Linked DNA regions of Cricetulus griseus. The protein of the gene in region 4 purifies or fractionates together with the protein of the main gene of each other region. This does not show direct contact. Links are inferred from orthologs where the notes say so. Each region holds a gene or a part of one and is shown on either strand. Other genes may lie near its edges.

Region 1 (4,239 bases), on a different chromosome or scaffold from region 4:
TACATATAACTTAGTCCTCAAACCCAGCATTTGAGTAAATTTCTCAAGATTAGCTAGTTAAGGATCAGTTTCCAAAGTTAACTTCTTAAAACCACTTAATTCTCCAGCAATTAACCTGTCAGGTTATAAAGATTTGAGGAACTAAAAATAAGAATACTAAGTCGACCTTAATCATAGTGATTTTCTTGCAGGCACTTGTTCTCAGTCAACCAAACACTGGTGTTTGTTATTTGCAAGCCAGTATGAAAATAAATAAATAAATAAAATGAAAGATGGCCTGAATGTGTAGAGTGCCTATCGTGCATAAAGTTCTGAGTTTTATCCTAGGCACTTCATACCTCCCAAACTCTGGAAATAGAGGCAGAAGGAACATAAGTTCAAATCATCCTTGGTTAGAAAGTGAGCGCCAACCAGTCTCAGTTACTTGAGACCTTAAAAAAGAAAAAAAAAAGAAAATTCTTACCAGTAAGTAACTTGTCATGAAACATAAGAACCTAGCCAGGCAGTGGTGACACACATCTTTAATCCCAGCATTTGGGAGGCAGAGGCAAGCCAATCTCTGTGAGTTTGAGGTCAGCTTGGTGTACACAGCAAGTTCCAGGCCAGCCAGGAAAACACAGAGAAACCTTATCTGGAAAAACCAACAAAGAGCAGAATAGGGGCACTAAGTTGAAATGCAACCAACTGATCTAAACGTTTGTATTTACTGACCCAGCTTTTTGTTTTACTGCACTTGTAAGACCCTTAATTTAGCCAGACGTTGGTGGCGCACGCCTTTAATCCCAGCACTCGGGAGGCAGAGGCAGGTGGATCTCTGTGAGTTCGAGACCAGCCTGGTCTACAAGAGCTAGTTCCAGGACAGCCTCCAAAGCCACAGAGAAACCCTGTCTTGAAAAACCAAAACCAAAACAAAACAAAACAAAACCCTTAATTGCTGTTTTCATACCTGTCTGTAAAGAAAATCACATCCTTAAATCTTCTTTTTTATTGCAAAAATAGTAAAGTCCCTTCACCAATCCTAGGAAACAGAGAACAAATGGAGGAAAATGGTATTTTCCCTTTATTTCACTTCAGATTCGTACCTGAGTGCCTGTAGTTCAAAAAGAGTATCTGATCCCCCTCCCCTGGTGCTAATTTTACAAGTGTTTGTGAGCCACGTGATGTGGGTGCTGGGAACCGAACCCCTGTGGAAGAGCAGAAAGTGCTCTTAACCGCTGTTCCATCTCTCTCCATCAGATAATGGTATTTTCACAATGAACTGTCCACGGTATCATTTTGGCCAGAGTCCAACTACTCATTTAGTGAGACGGACTAAGGGTTTTATATGCTAAATAATATTTAGATGTCGTAAGAAATACTTATTAAAAACCATGCCTTAACTATAAATGAGGGTCAAGCAGATGGTCTGAATAAGAAAACTAAGTCATGAAGTCAAGAGAGCTCGCCGTCTGCAAGCAAAGAACAAAGGCTACCTTTCCTAAACTATCTCTTCTCAAGCCCAAACTAAAACAAGACCAATTTCTCTCGTTCATCTCACGATAAAGAACCTGCAGTCCCTTACCTCCCTTTATCATTTCTTCCCAGAGTCTCCTTAGTTACTCGCTCTACTTCTGCGTGATTGTCAAGACACATTTTAAAATAAAGGAGAAAAACCGTCCGGGTCTGCAGCAATTCTTATTCGACAGGCCGATGTGGAAAACTGAACTCGAGAAAAATCTCAAGCTCCGGTTCTCTCGTCGCTCCAGCCTCTGAGTAACTTAAATCCGAGTTCCCGCTAAATCCCGCACGGCTCGGTAGACGGTGACGGCGCCGGCGCCGGCCCGGCATCCCGGCCCTGCCTCCCTCCCGGTTCCGACCGTCTTTCCTCCCTACACCCCGGGTCAAGGCGCTCTCCACCACGCGCGATCAAAAGGCAAATTCCCCTCCCCCCTTTGGGAAAGCGGGGCAAAGAAGGTTCATTTCTGGAAAGATCTGGTCGTCGGCGCGCGGGGCAACTACTAGAGGAGGAGACAGGGTCGGGAAGGGGGGCGGGAGCACAGTACTATCCATCAAGCTCTGCGCGCACGCACGGAGACTCCTCCGAGGCTCAGAAATCTCCCCTCACACCCTGAGCAGGGGTGGGACTTGTGGGTCCAGGATCTTGAAGGCCAGGGTCGAGAAGGGAACTCCCGATGCCCGGGCTCCGAGGGGGCGGGAGCAAGAGGAACAAAGCGGCGGCCACCCACCGCCAGGACCGGGAAAGCCGAGGGTGCGCCAAGACCCGCTTACCTACGGACAACAGCTGCATGGCGTGAGTGAAAGACGGGTCGAGGGAGTCCTTCTCAGCCATGAGTTCGGGCAGGTACTTATTCTCCGGCTCCATCTTGGCCGCGGCTGTGGCTGACGGGGGCAGCAGCGGGGTCGGCGCCGATCCGACCACAGTCGCGTCGGGACCCGTGGCCGAGGGAGGCAGCAGCGGCGGCGGCTGCGTGGCGGGCGAGGCCCGGACGCCCCCTCTGGGCCCACCTCCGCCTCCCCGGGACCGGTGAGGCAGCGGTGACGGCCGAGTCGGGGTCTGACGCACCGAGGGGTGGACACCTGAGGGGTCCATGGAGCCGCTGCGGCCCGAGGACCGAGTCAGGCGCGCGGCAGGGTCGTCCCGGCGCTGCATCGGGGAGGATGTGTGGCGAGCGAGCGAGGAAGCGACGCGGCGGCAGCCGAGGCCCGAGCGGCGGTTGGCGGGGGTGGAAGAGCGGGAGCGACAGCGACCGAAGCCGACCCGAGCGACCCAGCGAGAGAGCACCGGAAATGAGGCGGCGCGCGTGCGCAGACGTCTACCGGCACCGCCCTTGAGTTTCTCCGCGGAGAACAAAGTCCCCAGTCTGGCCACGGCGCCTGCGCCGACTAAAGACGTCGTCTCCCCGCTCGGGCTTCGGGTCTATCGCGCCTGCGCGGGCGCCAGCCTCCTTCGTTCGTTTCTTTTTTTTTGTTTTCCACGTGACTCGGTGCTAGCGGTTCACGTGTCTCCCCCCCCCACTCAGGCGGAGGGGGCGGGGGCTCTGGAATGTCTTTGTCTGCGCGCGGGCCCGCCGAGAGTGGGGCAGCGGAGGACTTATTCGAGGGCCACGCCTCCTCCAACGGCCGAGCCTCGCAAGGTCCCTAGAGAGATGTGCTTCTGAGGAGCATCTGGTGCCGTCCCTCCAGCCAGGAAATGGAAAGAACGCTTCTGGGGACCCGGAGAGGGGAAGAGGAGGGTTAGAGCAGTGTGAGGCCGGAAGAGAGGGAAAGACTGCCCCAACGGGATGGGACGCTGGGAGCGCTGGGAGAGGCTGACCCGAGGAGTAAGCGTTGGGTGTGGAAAGGGAAGCCTGGAGGGAGAGATAGAAGACTAAAAGCCACTTATTGCCAGTGTGCAACTCAGAAGGGTCGATCAGAGACGCAAAGGCCGGGAGAAAGGGGCTCCAGACCCAAACAGGGCATCCAAGAAGTCGGATACTAAGCTTTCCATTATAGCAGGCTCAAAATTGGCGAGAGAATTCTTGTGGAAAGACGCATCTGGGGTCGGATCAGCAGGTAACTCTGCTTGTCTCCTGAGTTCTATCCCCAGGCCCTAAATGGTGGGAGGAGAAAACCGGCTCTCACAAGTTGTCCTCTGACCTCTACACTCAGTGGCATTCAATGTGTCTTCCCCCCCCCCCCATGGAGGAGGGCGGATTAAGATGCACCATTGTAGTGTACACCTGCGCTGAGGAGGGAGAAACTCAGGAGACTTAACGAAAGTTTGAGACAAGTCTGATCTCCATTAGGAGCTCCTGGCGACTTAGGGTATCTAATGGACGCTTAGTCCCCCAAAACAAACCAAGAAACATTTTAGATAGATTAGGGAGATGGCACACCTGTGGTCCTAGCAATGGTGAGACTGAGGCCCTTTAGCTTATACATTTTGTTGCCTTCTGTTTTATTCTGTAAAAAGGTGACCACAGGCCCAGTCCTTAATCCGTGTTGGCTGTATAGTTCTCTTGTGCTCCTACTGCTGGTATGAATGCTGGTCCTGCCTTTGTTGGTTCCTTCACAACAGATCGTACTACATTCGTAAAAGAACAGAAACTTTTTACTTATTTTTCTTTAATCTTCAGAATTCTGGAATAACAGAATAAATCACCATAAGACAGTTACTCAATACTGCTTTAAAGACCAGGATGAATAGTCTCTAAGGTAGTCCCCTCATCCTGGAATGCTATGTGTAGATGGAGCCCAGAT
Region 2 (4,180 bases), on a different chromosome or scaffold from region 4:
GACTTAGTTTAAGGAAATGGAAGATCATCAGGATATACCAATTATTAAGATACCTCTAACTAGTCATAAAGACAAAACTCTTTAATACTTAAATCTCATTCTTTGTAAATTCTCAGGACAAGCCCTAAATGTAGACCTTATGCCAACACATTTACATAAATTTCATCAGAGGTACAGTGTGTTAGGGTGGAGCTATGGAACCAGTTCAGTCCTTGTAATGATAACCAAGCTAAACACACCCAAGGAACAATGGCTTGCTTCCCCACCCAATACTCAATGAGTCCTACATAACAAGAAAAAAAAACTTAATAAACTCATCATGGGGCTGGGAATGTTGCTCAGTGAGTGCTACTTTATACTTAAGCCTAGTGGGCAAAATGCTGGGCTCTACCAATATCACCCACCACAAAAAGTAAACTCATCTAATGAAAAATGGTTGATACTTTTTAAAGCATAAGCTTCTTTTCATGTACTTACCTATACTTGAATTGCCAACTGCAGTAGAATTCAGGTGTTTGTTTAATCCAAAAACCTAGTCTACACTTAACATTTTACCAACTCTCAAGTTCTTCAAATAGACAAAAGTTACAAAAGTGATGTAAGGACACCATTACATTCCAGTATTGTGTTATCGAGACACAGGACACACCATAAATGAACAATTCTTTCCTTTCTTAGAGGTACCATCCAATACAGAGGACAACTGACATTTTTATTCCAAATTTCTCCTTATGTATAACTTTGTTTTAAGCAACTCTGGTTTTAGAGTGATTTAAGGGTCCTGAGTTCAATCCCCGATACCAACAAAAAAAGATTTCTGAAATACTAAGGGAAAATGTCGATAAGCAATGTGAAAAAGTTTTCCTAATGACTTAAGTAAATGACAAAGAATCCGGGCTGTAAATAAAATTGCCCACACTTATGACTTACAATGTTACTTTCCAGGTAAGATCATAGATAGGATTCCTGGTGAAAACTGAGTAATTTAAATTAAGCTTCATGATTTGAACATTTAATGAGTGAGTGCATCTACATCGTATGTTTTAGACAACTTATTCATGTATTTTCTTTAATTAGTGTCATCAAAGAGGTAAACAGTTTAAAATACACCAACCAGAGTTCCTTTACACAAGAATTAAATGCCTTATTCGACTGTACGATGTCAAGCTTAATGTGCTGAGTACTTTTGCCCAAATGATGTTTTCTAACAATCCAGACTATGCTGCCCTTCCAAATCTATCATTTTTAGCACGAGAAATCTTTTATTCAGTCAACTAGGTACTGGATGTTTACTCCAAGCCATACAAAAAAAGACACCCCCCCAAAAAGATACCTTAAACCAAAACCCAAACAATTCCTTTCATGAGCACGTGGCACTAAGAGGCAACTTTACATATAATGGTAACTTTAAAGACTCACAGTTTAGATTCTAAACCGACCTACTATTGACTTTAAACCTTCTTAACCCTTAATTGCTTTGCTTTTTCACCCACAATAAGCCAGTATTTTAGAATGCTAAAATCAAAAAACAACTAGGAAACTTCCAGCGCCCTGGAAGTCTACTAACCGCCAATGAGGACCTGACCATGCTTCACGCACGTGCGGAGGAAAGGCTGCAGACTCCAAAGAACTCTGCTGCCGGGGACGTGACAGGCTGGGCACTCATTCGACCCATGAAGCCCAAAACAGGAAAAGCCCAATCCACCTGGGGGGGGGGGGGGGGGCTTCAAGGTATTGAAGAAGGGCTCGCGACATGAGAAAGGTTCTGCTGATAACCAGTCTCCATTCAGAAACTCCCTCGAAAACGAGTGGGGGCTCCGAATTCCTCCCCTTTCCAACAGCTTCATCCCCGCCACTAAGTTACAGTTAAGTTGAACACAGGAGCAAAAGGGTGCAACTTTTTTTGTTGCACATGCGGGACCCAAACAGCCCCTTCCTCCACTCTCTAAACAGTGGCCCCGAACAGACCGCAGCCCAGGTGGAAACTCCGAGCCCCGGCCTTTCCTCGAGGGTCCGCGCCATTGTGGGACAAGATGGCAGGGCAGGAGCCCAGGGCGGGCAGCGGCACACATTTGAGCACGCCGGGCAGGAAACGTGCCCGCTCGCTGCTCCCGGGCACCGAGAGCCAGGCGGCGCCCAACACCCGGCCCGAATCGGCGGGAACGCCCGGGCCGCCCTCTCGGAGCACGCTCAGTCAGCCCGAGGCGGGAAGGCTCCCGCCGAGCCTGCGAGCGGCGTGGACTCGGTGCCAGCCACGCTCGCGCACCGTGCGGGGCTCCGCGCACGCCGCGCCCCCTCCGGCTGCACCAGCGAGCGGCCGCGCACGCCCCCGTCCTGCCCGCCAGCCCGGGGCTCCCCACCGCCTCGCCCGGCTTTACCTTCTTTCTTAAGCGCCACCGGCGGCTGCGTCTCCTCCTTTTTGTCAGCCACGCCGACGCTGGGGGGCAGCGGGTTCTTGCGATCTTTCTGGGACTCTTTACGCAACTGTTTGCCCGCCGCGTTGGAGTTGGTCTGGGCCGCGGCCTGAGCGGCGCTCTTGGCCCCAGGGCCACCAACGCCGCCCCCGCCGGCTTCTTTTTTCTTGTTCTCTGCTGCCTTCAGTACCTCGAAAGGGTCCGATTCGTCGTCAAATAGCTGGTCGAATCGGTTGGTGACCACGCAGCCGAACCCTTCCTGTAGGTGCCCGGGCATGATGGTGGCTCGGCGGCGCGTTCCTCCACGGATTGCAGCGGACCGCGCCGAGCCAAAAGCGCCTGCTTCAGCTCTTCCCACAAGATGGCCGGGCCGAGAAAGGGGGGCCGCCTTCTCTTCCGGCGCCAGGCACACATCCGGGAGTGGCCTGCGCCGCACAGCACCATGGGGTATGTAGGCCACAGCGGATCATCCTGAAGCAGCGGCCCACTCCTGAACCACAACTCCCAGCGTGCGCCGCGCAGCACCTCTTCGCGCGCGCCTCAGAGGCGGGATCTCCCGGAGAGAGTGAAGCGTGCTCGCCGAAGGTGGAGAAGCGTGTGCTGGGCGGAGTTCGGCCACCTGCTCTTGTCACCCTTAAACTCTCGGTCTTTAGCTACCCCCTGAAAACCAGGGAAACGTGAGGTTGTCTTCGGCTCACGAAAGTGTTCTGTCTTTGTGGTTTCGCCCACCCCGTCTCCGGCCGAGGACTTTCTCCACCTTTCTGAGAGGGTCAAGGTGACTCCCAGACCTAGTAACTGAAGCCTCAAAAACTTCCGGGGGTGGGGGTGGGGGTGAGGTGCCACACTTAACCTCCGGTAGGCTGCAGATTGTGGCCGCTCGGCTGCACATCCCTAGCGGGTGGGTTTCTGGAGCTGCCCTCCACCCTTCGCAGCGAATCGAGGCACTTCGGTTCAAAGTGGAACGGGATTCCGGGGTTGCTCGCACCGAGACATTGGGTGGCAGAACGAATCAAAAAGACGAGTTGACTGTCTGGGTTGCGCGCCTTTTCCGGTCATTGCGACCATGCTTTCAGAGCTGTTAACTCCTGACTGCAGCACTGGACGCCAGGCAAGCCTCCAAAAGGCAGTGTTTGGAAACGCTTTCTAGAATCAATCGGATTAACTGATCCATCATTATCTGGCCACCCAAGGCTTTTGAGGCTGTAGTGTTGGTAAAAATGTGCTCAAGAACCATGAGGTGGTGGCGCATGCCTTGAATCCCAGCATTCCGGAGGCGAATCGAGGGCAGTCTGGTCTACAGAGCAAGTTCAGGGAAAGCAGGGGCTACACAGTGAAACCCTGTCTTGAAGCCCCCCACCCCCCCCAAAAAAAGATGTGCTCAAGAAGAAATATTGTATACTACATTGAGTATTATGTATGAAGGAAGGAAAATTAATTTAGGTAATTAGTAAAGACTTGAAAACATTGACATTAAGACAATCCAGTGCCAATACATAGTATAGTTTTTAAACCATTCCCGTTGACACAGAGTGTACTAGAAAGTGTATCTCTCAAGTAGCAGGTGCTAGGAATGCTTGACCCTCACATCTTTTTAGGAAAACAATTGTCCCCTTTTCACAAGCGATGAAATCATGTCAGAAGTGATATGACTTACCAAGTTCTCACTTATGTTAAATGGTAGTGGCACCTAGACTGCCCACATCAATTCTGTAAACCAATCTCGTCTTGCTAGAAGTTAAGACAAGTGTTGAAATTTTGATAACTAT
Region 3 (4,061 bases), on a different chromosome or scaffold from region 4:
CTGACACATAGCTTTTACTCGAGTTCTGGGGATTCAAACTCAGGTCCTTACACTTATGCCCTAAAAGCTTTATCACAGAGCCACCTCCCTGGCCCATGCCCACTACCAGCAGCAGCTGTGCTCCAGATTCCTCCATCTCCGGTACCACCGACTGCACAGGCCGCGGCCCTCTGGGGGAAAAGGCTCCTCGGGGAAGAGATACCTCTCGAGGCCAGTCATCTTCTGGGGGCAATCCAATGAGACTGTAGGGATAACACAAATCTGGTCAGGGGGGCTTTTTCCAGTTTCCATCTCCAGGGCCAACTGCCATTTGGAATTGAGCAGAAACTGAATTAAGAATGGGGAATTTTAGCCGGGCGGTGGTGACTCATGCCTTTAATCCCAGCACTTGGGAGGCAGAGGCAGGCGGATCTCTGTGAGTTTGAGATCTTGTAGACCAGCCTGGTCTACAAGAGCTAGTTCCAGGACAGCCTCCAAAGCCACAGAGAAACCCTGCCTCGAAAAAAACAAACAAAAAGGGGGGGGGGGATTTCTTTCCCCTTTATTGGACACTTACTCAAAGATTTTGCCCAACTGGTCAGCTTCAGAGTTTCCACAGAAGAGAGGCCTAAGGTAGAAAAATATTCCAAGTATATATTATTTCAGAAATAAGGGAATGATAATCAAAGTGGCTGAGATTAGAGAGGACGGAGAATAAGGGAACACAAAGTTCCTAATTCCTAGACATTTCAGGAAATTTGCCTGCATCGTTTCTGGTTTTAGGCAAGTTGGTGAACATAAACAGGATAGGTTGGGACTATAGCTGGGTGGCAGGGCACGCGCCTGATAAATACAAGAGCCTAGGTTGGGGCGTCCAGTGCCATATGCACAAAAATGGTCAAGAACGGGTATGTCTTGTAAAAAGACCCAGGGGCGGGGAGTGTAGTTTAGTGGTATAGAGCATTTGCCCAGTGTATGTGCAGTTCTGATTTCAACCTCTAACACCATAAGTAACATCAAAAGATTTGTGTAACTGAAGGGACCTAAGAGTTCCACACCCTGAGCCAGGTGGTGGCGGCAGGCGGATCTCCGAGGGAGTCACAGGACAGCCAGGGCTACCCTGTCTTAAAAAACAAAAGTTTCAAGCCCCGTACTTTCGACGAAACATCTCTGCAAAGATACAGCCAACGCTCCACATGTCCACGGGTGTTGCGTATGTAGACTGCAGAAGAACTTCAGGAGCACGGTACCAGAGTGTAACAACCTAAACAGAAGAGGAGAAACGAGTGAGAGTCCTTTTCATGGCTCATAGCTGCTGGGCTTTGAGAACGTCAAGCACAACACACCTCAGCTGCTACGGGAAATCAAGTACTACCTAAAGCCGAATCCCATTGGGGCTGCCATCTTTCCACTCACCACAGGTGTGAGGGCCATCTGGTAGCTGTAGATTCTGGCCAGGCCAAAGTCAGCCAGCTTGACTGTCCCATTACTAGTCACCAGAATGTTCTCCGGTTTCAGGTCTCGGTGAACAATGCAATTTGCATGAAGAAAATCCAGGCCGCTTAGAAACTGTCGCATCAGGTCCTGGTTTTGAAGGAGAAAGCCCCGGACACCATGTAACACGCTCAAAAACCCCAAGAGTCCCTACTACAAAGACCCGGATCCACCTCTCACCGAGCAGCCCGCTCACCTTGATGGTCTCAACTGGCAAGCCTGGTGGGGGTGCTTTATCCAGGTATGTCCTCAGATCCTGATCTATATGCTCAAACACGAGAGTGACCTTGATGTCTCGATCAGTTCGGGAGGTAGCACAGACATCCATTAGCCTGACAAAAATAAACAGTCGCCAGCCGGTCAATGTCCTTTGTTCCAACGTGGCCTCTGGAGTCCTAGGGTCCCACTCCCGACGACCACACCCCTGGCTTACAGATCCCATTCTTTCCTCCCCACTCCCAATCCAACCTCCTCACCGTACAACATTGGGGTGCTCGAAGGCCTCCAACCGCCTCAGTAAGGCCACCTCGCGTACAGTGCTGATGGGAAGGCCCCCTCCAGCTCCCCCTCCGTTGGGAACTCGCACACTCTTGAGGGCCACAAAGTGGCCACTGTGGGGATCTCGGGCCTTGTATACCGTCCCATAGGCACCAACACCGATTTCAGCCACCGGTTCATAGCGGGAGGTAGCCATTCTCGGAGCAGGGAGATCTCCTACAATCACAGAGGCTTCTAAAACCAAGCCCTCCTTTCCTTCACAGCTAGGAGGGGGGATGACCCAGCAGTAACAAAGGAATTCCTGCCCACGACCGCACCGACACAGCCGCCCATCCCCTCCCTCCACGCTGCCAGAGTGCCGCGCCTCAGGTAACACAAAAGACTCTCCCACCGAGCCCTCCAGCCACGTGATGTCCCGGAGGGGCGAAAAAGAATGCATTCCTCCCGGGGAGGAGGAGGGGGGAGAACGGGACATCGCACCGGGCACAAAGAAGACCATCACAATGCACGGCGTTGGCATCGAAGGTTGCACACTTTATTCCCTAAAATCACACGCTGGCCGCGACCACAAAGGCCCCGCTTCCCGCCCTTGGGCCATCCTTCCACAACGAGGGGATCCATAGGGTGGTGGCGGGGCGCCGGGCCCCATCCCTGCAAGCGGCTGCACTCACCTCTCGCCCGGCCAAGAGCTGCGGAGGTGGCCCTTTATCTGGGCCCGGGAGCCGGTTCCTGCGGCGCCATACACCGGGGATCGGTCCCGGGCAGCTGGACGCTACGGGCCAGACCATAGACACGGGCCGCGAGCTAGAGAGGCCCCCCTCACCCCCACCCTCCCCATGTGACCAGCAGCCAGGGAGGCGCGCGGAAACCGGGGGGGGGGGGCGAACGCCGGACGTTCGCGGCGGACACGTGGTCTCCATCCATCCATCCATCCATCCATGCATGCGCAGTGGATGACCTGGGATGGGGGGGGCGAAACTCGCTCGGGCACGTGACCTGTTGCTATCCCACGTGACCCCTCAGCTCTGCGCTGGGAAGCAGAGGCGTGGCTACGCCGCCTACCACGTGACCCGCCGCCAGTCCCTGACTGCCGAGGGGGTGTGTGGGGGCGAGGGAGGGTGGAGCACCAGGCGGTGCCATGGCAACCGGGCCAGCCGGCTCTCAACTCTGGGCTCAAGGCCGAGCCTGTGCGCATCTCTCCGTCTCACTCCTTGTCTGGACGTGGGCGGGGAGGTCCGGGTGCTAGTGGGAGATCCTGGTACCAGAGATGGGACTGTCACATTTTTCACTCCAGCGCCATGGGGAAGGAGCATTCGTATACTGTGCCTTCGTTTTACTCATTCATTCAACAAAAATTTTACTAAGGGCTCCTTTCCAGTTGGTATGTGATGTTTTTGTTTTGGTGTCTCAGCCATTCGCCCTCTGAAGTAATGATGAGGGTATCTAATGTAGGCAAGTGTGGCCCCTTATGAAACAGGGAGTACGATTCCTATCCAAGAAGGAAACTAGGGCTAAAAGATGGACAGCAGGATTAATATACTCAGTCACTGTATGGGAAGAGTGGCAACGTAATGCCCTCCCCTCTTCCAACTTGCAAACCTCCCTGGGAATATTAAAAGCAGCAAGGAGTTATTGGAAACTCTGTTGTTTTGTTTTTTTTCGAGACAGGGTTTCTCTCTGTAGACCAGGCTGACCTCGAACTTACACAGATCTGCCTGCCTCTGTCTCCCAAGTGCTGGGATTCTGAGATTAAAGGCGTGCACCACTACGGCCCAACAGGGTGCCTGATCTTAAAAGGCTCTTAACACTAAGATTCTGTATTGTGTTACATATGTATGTAATTGTGCATATGAACAGACAAAACGGTGAGCGTGTACAAGGGCGGTCACCAACACCACTTCAGACCACCATGTTGCCCGAGAACGTCTTGTGTCCCTCTGCAAACATGCAACTCATCATTGGTGTCACATTCCTTTTTATTTCTAATGCAGCTTTCTTAGAGCTACTCTTGCCCTTATGGGCATTTCCCAAGTGGTCTGTGCCCACAGAAATCTAGGTAGACAGGTAGATTTGGCATTCGTTGTGTTGTG
Region 4 (4,272 bases):
GTTTCTGGTTTGGGCAATGATGGGATGGGGGTGTTTTTTGCTGTTAAAGGAAATATGAAAGCTATTACTACATAGTTAAGTACTGGGTGAAGGCTAGTCATGAATACTATGAGTTTAGTTAGGTGGGTAGTGCTAAGCAGATATCCTATAGGGAATGGGATATATGGGTCTGAAGAGGAGTCAGTATAATGTTTTCCAGCATGTGGCAGAAATCCTTGAACACAGAAGTCCCAGCAGATACTTAGTTGTCTCCTCCTGGGAAGTCTCAGGAACATAAAATATCAGTAGGACCCATATGTATCCATGTGTTACTGATGCCTTTCAGGAAAAAGCTTCTGTTAAGGTTAGCATCTGAAGCGAGGAGGTTAGGTGGTCTTTCTGTTTCCCCCCAAATATCTTTTTTTGTTGTTTGTTTTTCGAGACAGGGTTTCTCTGTGGCTTTGGAGACTGTCTTGGAACTAGCTGTTGTAGACCAGGCTGGTCTCGAAGTCACAGAGATCCATCTGCCTCTGCCTCCCGAGTGCTGGGATTAAAGGTGTGCACCACCAACTCCAGGCCCCCAAAATATTTTTTGTTGGAGACAGAGTCAACATGTAGTCCTGGCTAGCCTTGAACTCTCTTTAAAATTATTCTATATGTACAGGGTTTTGTCTACATGTATGTATTTTCATTACAAGCATGCCTAGAGCTGGATGAGGCCAAAAGAGTTTGTCATATCCTTGGGACCAGAGATACAGATAGTTGTGAACCACCACGTGGGTGCTAGAAAGTGAACCTGGGTCCTCTGGAAGAGCAAATGCTGTTAACCACCGAGCTGTCTCTCCAGACCCTGGCTTTGAGCTCTTGATTGTCCTGCCTTAGCCTCCAGAGCAATGATAACCCCATTTCTTTTGAGACAGGGTTTCTCTGTGTATCTCTAGCTGTTCTGGCACTAGCTCTTGTAGACCAGGCTGGCCTCGAACTCAAGAGATCCACCTGCCTCTGCCTCCTGAGCGCTTGGATTAAAGGCGTGCGCCACTACTGCCCGACTTGGCATTAATTTCTAACACACAGAAATTAGATCCTAGCACTAGGGAGGCAGAGGCAGGTGGATCTCTGTGAGTTCCAGACTAGCCTGGTCTACAAGAGCTTTTGCCAACACTACTGGAAGACGCTAGGTACTGACAGTGTTGGTTCGTAAACATTTTCTTTCCTGAGTAAATTAAGGGATGGGGGCGGCGGTTGTGGAGGTGGCGAGAAAGGCTGTACTGCGCCTGCGCAATAGCTATAGGCTTGAGAGGTCAACGTGAGGGTAAGAGGGCGGAGGTGACAGAATAGGCGTGTCTTTCCGCCAAACAAGTAGGCAAATGTTGCAGTTCTGTCTAGCGGTTGGCCCTTCTGAGGTGACGGACTGCATTGTTAAGCCAATCACGTCAAGATTACGTTTGTTGCCAGGGTGAAGCAGGGTCCGCCTTTTCGGGCTTGCTGATTGGTGGAACCGGAAGTGACGACGCCTCACAGGATGATACGCTCTGGGAATGTTGATGTTTTCCTGTGAGTCTGACTGAGTTCCAGATGGAATCCTTGAGGAGACGACTTGTTGTGTTCGTGAGGCCAACCACTCTGTTTCTTCAAAGTACGGATACGTGCGGGCTGGAACCTTGGGGAAAGAAAGGAACAGGACGGAACCAAAGTTTTTCTGCTGGGAACACGGCTGCAGACTTTGAAATTTGAGAGGGAGGACACGAGAGAGCGAGCGCTTATCCCTGATTGGTTCTTGGGTGTTGTCAAGGCTTTACGCAGGTTCTTCAATTGGTTGGTATTCGCAATTGTCACCGCCGCGACAATTTTTTGCCCACGTACTTCCGAACAAGAGGCAGGGCTGTGTTCTGTTACGCCTGCGCACGGCCTGGGCGGCCCCACCCGGTAGTTCAAGAACCTGTGAAGGGGCGGGGCGAAGAGGTACTTGTTTTGGTTGTGTTTCCTTTGAAGCTGAATCCCGGAACAAGGTAGCAATAAGCTTGGCTGGACTTGGAGAAAAGGCTACGACAAATTCGTCTTTGTACCATCCTATTGGACTTCACATCCGGGATCTCCTCCGGGCGTGACCTGCGTACTGCCTACCGTTCTCGAACCGGTGTCCTGATCCCTTTATACAGGCCTTGCTGTTCCCATCGTGCTTCGCGCACAACAGTAGCCCCCTCATCCGGGTTCTCTCCCGGCGTTCTCAGCGTTTCGTTTGCTGTGGGGTACTTGCCCGTGCCGCCATGACTATTCTCCCCAAAAAGAAGCCGCCACCTCCCGATGCCGACCCGGCCAACGAACCGTCGCCGCCCGGGCCGCTGCCCCCAGCGCCTCGGCGCGGTGGGGGTGTGGGTGTGGGCGGCGGCGGCACGGGAGTGGGTGGAGGAGAGCGCGACCGAGACTCCGGCGTCGTGGGGGCCCGTCCCAGGGCTTCACCACCACCTCAGGGCCCGCTCCCGGGGCCGCCTGGTGCTCTTCATCGTTGGGCACTAGCCGTGCCGCCTGGCGCAGTGGCGGGCCCTCGGCCACAGCAGGCTTCTCCACCTCCTTGTGGGGGCCCTGGTGGCCCCGGCGGCGGTCCTGGTGACGCTCTTGGTGCGGCAACTGCGGGGGTGGGCGCGGCAGGGGTGGTGGTGGGCGTGGGTGGTGCCGTGGGCGTTGGCGGCTGCTGCTCGGGGCCGGGGCACAGCAAGCGGCGGCGTCAAGCTCCCGGCGTTGGCGCAGTTGGCGGGGGCAGTCCGGAGCGTGAAGAGGTCGGAGCAGGCTACAACAGTGAAGACGAATATGAAGCTGCGGCAGCACGAATCGAAGCCATGGATCCTGCCACTGTAGAGCAGGTAAGGGCTGCAAGGTGAGGAGCTGGCAGATAACAGCACGTGAGTCCACCAGACTCAGAAGGGATCCAAGGAAGTGTTGTTTCAGAGTGGTCCAAGAAACCTAGGTCTTGTTGCTGGGCCTGACATTCTTCTCTGGTGATGAAGGTATGATGAAACCTCATTTCCCCCAGGGACTTGGTGTTAGGGGTCCTAAGTATGCTAACATACTTCAAGATGAGATCTGGGAGCTCTTTTGCAGTCCATAGTTGTCAGTCCTGGTCTTGGGGTCTCATCTGCATGACTGTTGGTGAGAAGTCTCCAGGAGTCACAGGTAGGTTTGGATTCCTTCTTGAGAGGAGGATCTCATGTCTCACTAAGGGACTTCGGTTCAGTGACTTAAGAGCTCTTTTTCTTTAGGACAAGTTAGATTTCCTCTCCAGAGAACTCAGAAAAGGCAGTGTCCTCAGAGATAGGGTCTAGGCGTACCCAAGAAACCTAAACCTGACATTCTTCATGTAGGAAGGACCCTCTTTTCCTTTGCAGAGTTGACAGGTCTGTTCACCAGCCATGCCTGGGACCTCCTCAGGAGTCCTAAGCATCAATTCAAGGACCTAGACCTCCTTGGAGAATTTAGGGCTTAGAGTAAACCGACATAACGGTAGATAGTGATTTCCAAAGCATCCCTCCAGTGATGTGAAACTTCTTTCTGGGAAATAAACTTCTCTAACCCTTGGAGACAAAGGCCAAAACCAATACCTAGGACCAGAAACTGCCTGTCTCATATCCTTTCTGAGTGACATTGGTTTGTGTTTTCTATCAGTGGACTGAGACCTGCATCCTTGGAGACAAGGGTCCTCAGTTTCTTCTCATTGATAGGCTCTTTGCCTCCACCCCTACCATTCAACTGAGGACCTGAACCTTTCTTCAAATGAATGAGATTAAGAACTTTGGATCACAGTCGATGTTGGTGTAAAGACCTCTTTGCTTATGGACTGGAGTTTTACAGACTGGGCCCGTGGCCTCTTCAGGAGTATGGCACTTAAAGATGTCCCAGGCTGGAAGTGTTCTTCAGGACACACTTTTATTCATAGACCAGTGTCTATGCTCTTGGGGGTTCATATATTCCCCTAAGGATATATGTCTTACTGATTGAAATGCACTTCAGGGATTCAACATCCCATTTTTTCTCTTCAGTTCATCTAAAGACTTCTCTGATCCCCCAGGGGCTGAGCTGTTAATCTCACAGGAAAAGAGCTCTCAAGTCACTAAACACAGATTAAGTTCCTTGGGAAAAACCTGAGGCTTCCCTCAGGAAGAGCTCCATCTTTCCTGGAAAAAGAACTCCCACCTATTGACTTTGCAGATGAGGTCCCAGAATCTAGCATGAAATCTATAGACCCTATATAATCCCTGCTTTGGAAATGGGCAGTATGGAGACCCAGAGGTGATGTCA

The links. The genes of interacting proteins can lie anywhere in the genome.
Region 1: the proteins of Otud5 (region 4) and Khdrbs1 purify together in Homo sapiens (affinity purification with mass spectrometry, with the first as the bait; 3 studies listed by BioGRID). This does not show direct contact. The link is inferred for Cricetulus griseus from reciprocal best matches to the Homo sapiens genes OTUD5 and KHDRBS1.
Region 2: the proteins of Otud5 (region 4) and Serbp1 purify together in Homo sapiens (affinity purification with mass spectrometry, with the first as the bait; 3 studies listed by BioGRID). This does not show direct contact. The link is inferred for Cricetulus griseus from reciprocal best matches to the Homo sapiens genes OTUD5 and SERBP1.
Region 3: the proteins of Otud5 (region 4) and Cdk4 purify together in Homo sapiens (affinity purification with mass spectrometry, with the first as the bait; 4 studies listed by BioGRID). This does not show direct contact. The link is inferred for Cricetulus griseus from reciprocal best matches to the Homo sapiens genes OTUD5 and CDK4.

Annotation. Positions count from the first base shown.
Region 1 is NC_048595.1:23,279,546-23,283,784, reverse strand, and holds the start of Khdrbs1 (KH domain-containing, RNA-binding, signal transduction-associated protein 1), read right to left. Parts: upstream 2,801-4,239; 5' UTR 2,651-2,800; coding exon 2,269-2,650; intron 1-2,268. UniProt on the Homo sapiens protein: Recruited and tyrosine phosphorylated by several receptor systems, for example the T-cell, leptin and insulin receptors. Once phosphorylated, functions as an adapter protein in signal transduction cascades by binding to SH2 and SH3 domain-containing proteins.
Region 2 is NC_048601.1:75,942,036-75,946,215, forward strand, and holds the start of Serbp1 (plasminogen activator inhibitor 1 RNA-binding protein), read right to left. Parts: upstream 2,801-4,180; 5' UTR 2,692-2,800; coding exon 2,379-2,691; intron 1-2,378. UniProt on the Homo sapiens protein: Ribosome-binding protein that promotes ribosome hibernation, a process during which ribosomes are stabilized in an inactive state and preserved from proteasomal degradation.
Region 3 is NW_023276806.1:130,641,208-130,645,268, forward strand, and holds the start of Cdk4 (cyclin-dependent kinase 4), read right to left. Parts: upstream 2,801-4,061; 5' UTR 2,643-2,800; intron 2,188-2,642; 5' UTR 2,168-2,187; coding exon 1,950-2,167; intron 1,806-1,949; coding exon 1,670-1,805; intron 1,564-1,669; coding exon 1,396-1,563; intron 1,244-1,395; coding exon 1,134-1,243; intron 608-1,133; coding exon 557-607; intron 243-556; coding exon 107-242; intron 1-106.
Region 4 is NC_048604.1:114,305,426-114,309,697, forward strand, and holds the start of Otud5 (OTU domain-containing protein 5), read left to right. Parts: upstream 1-1,472; 5' UTR 1,473-2,246; coding exon 2,247-2,840; intron 2,841-4,272. UniProt on the Homo sapiens protein: Deubiquitinating enzyme that functions as a negative regulator of the innate immune system. Has peptidase activity towards 'Lys-48'- and 'Lys-63'-linked polyubiquitin chains. Can also cleave 'Lys-11'-linked ubiquitin chains (in vitro).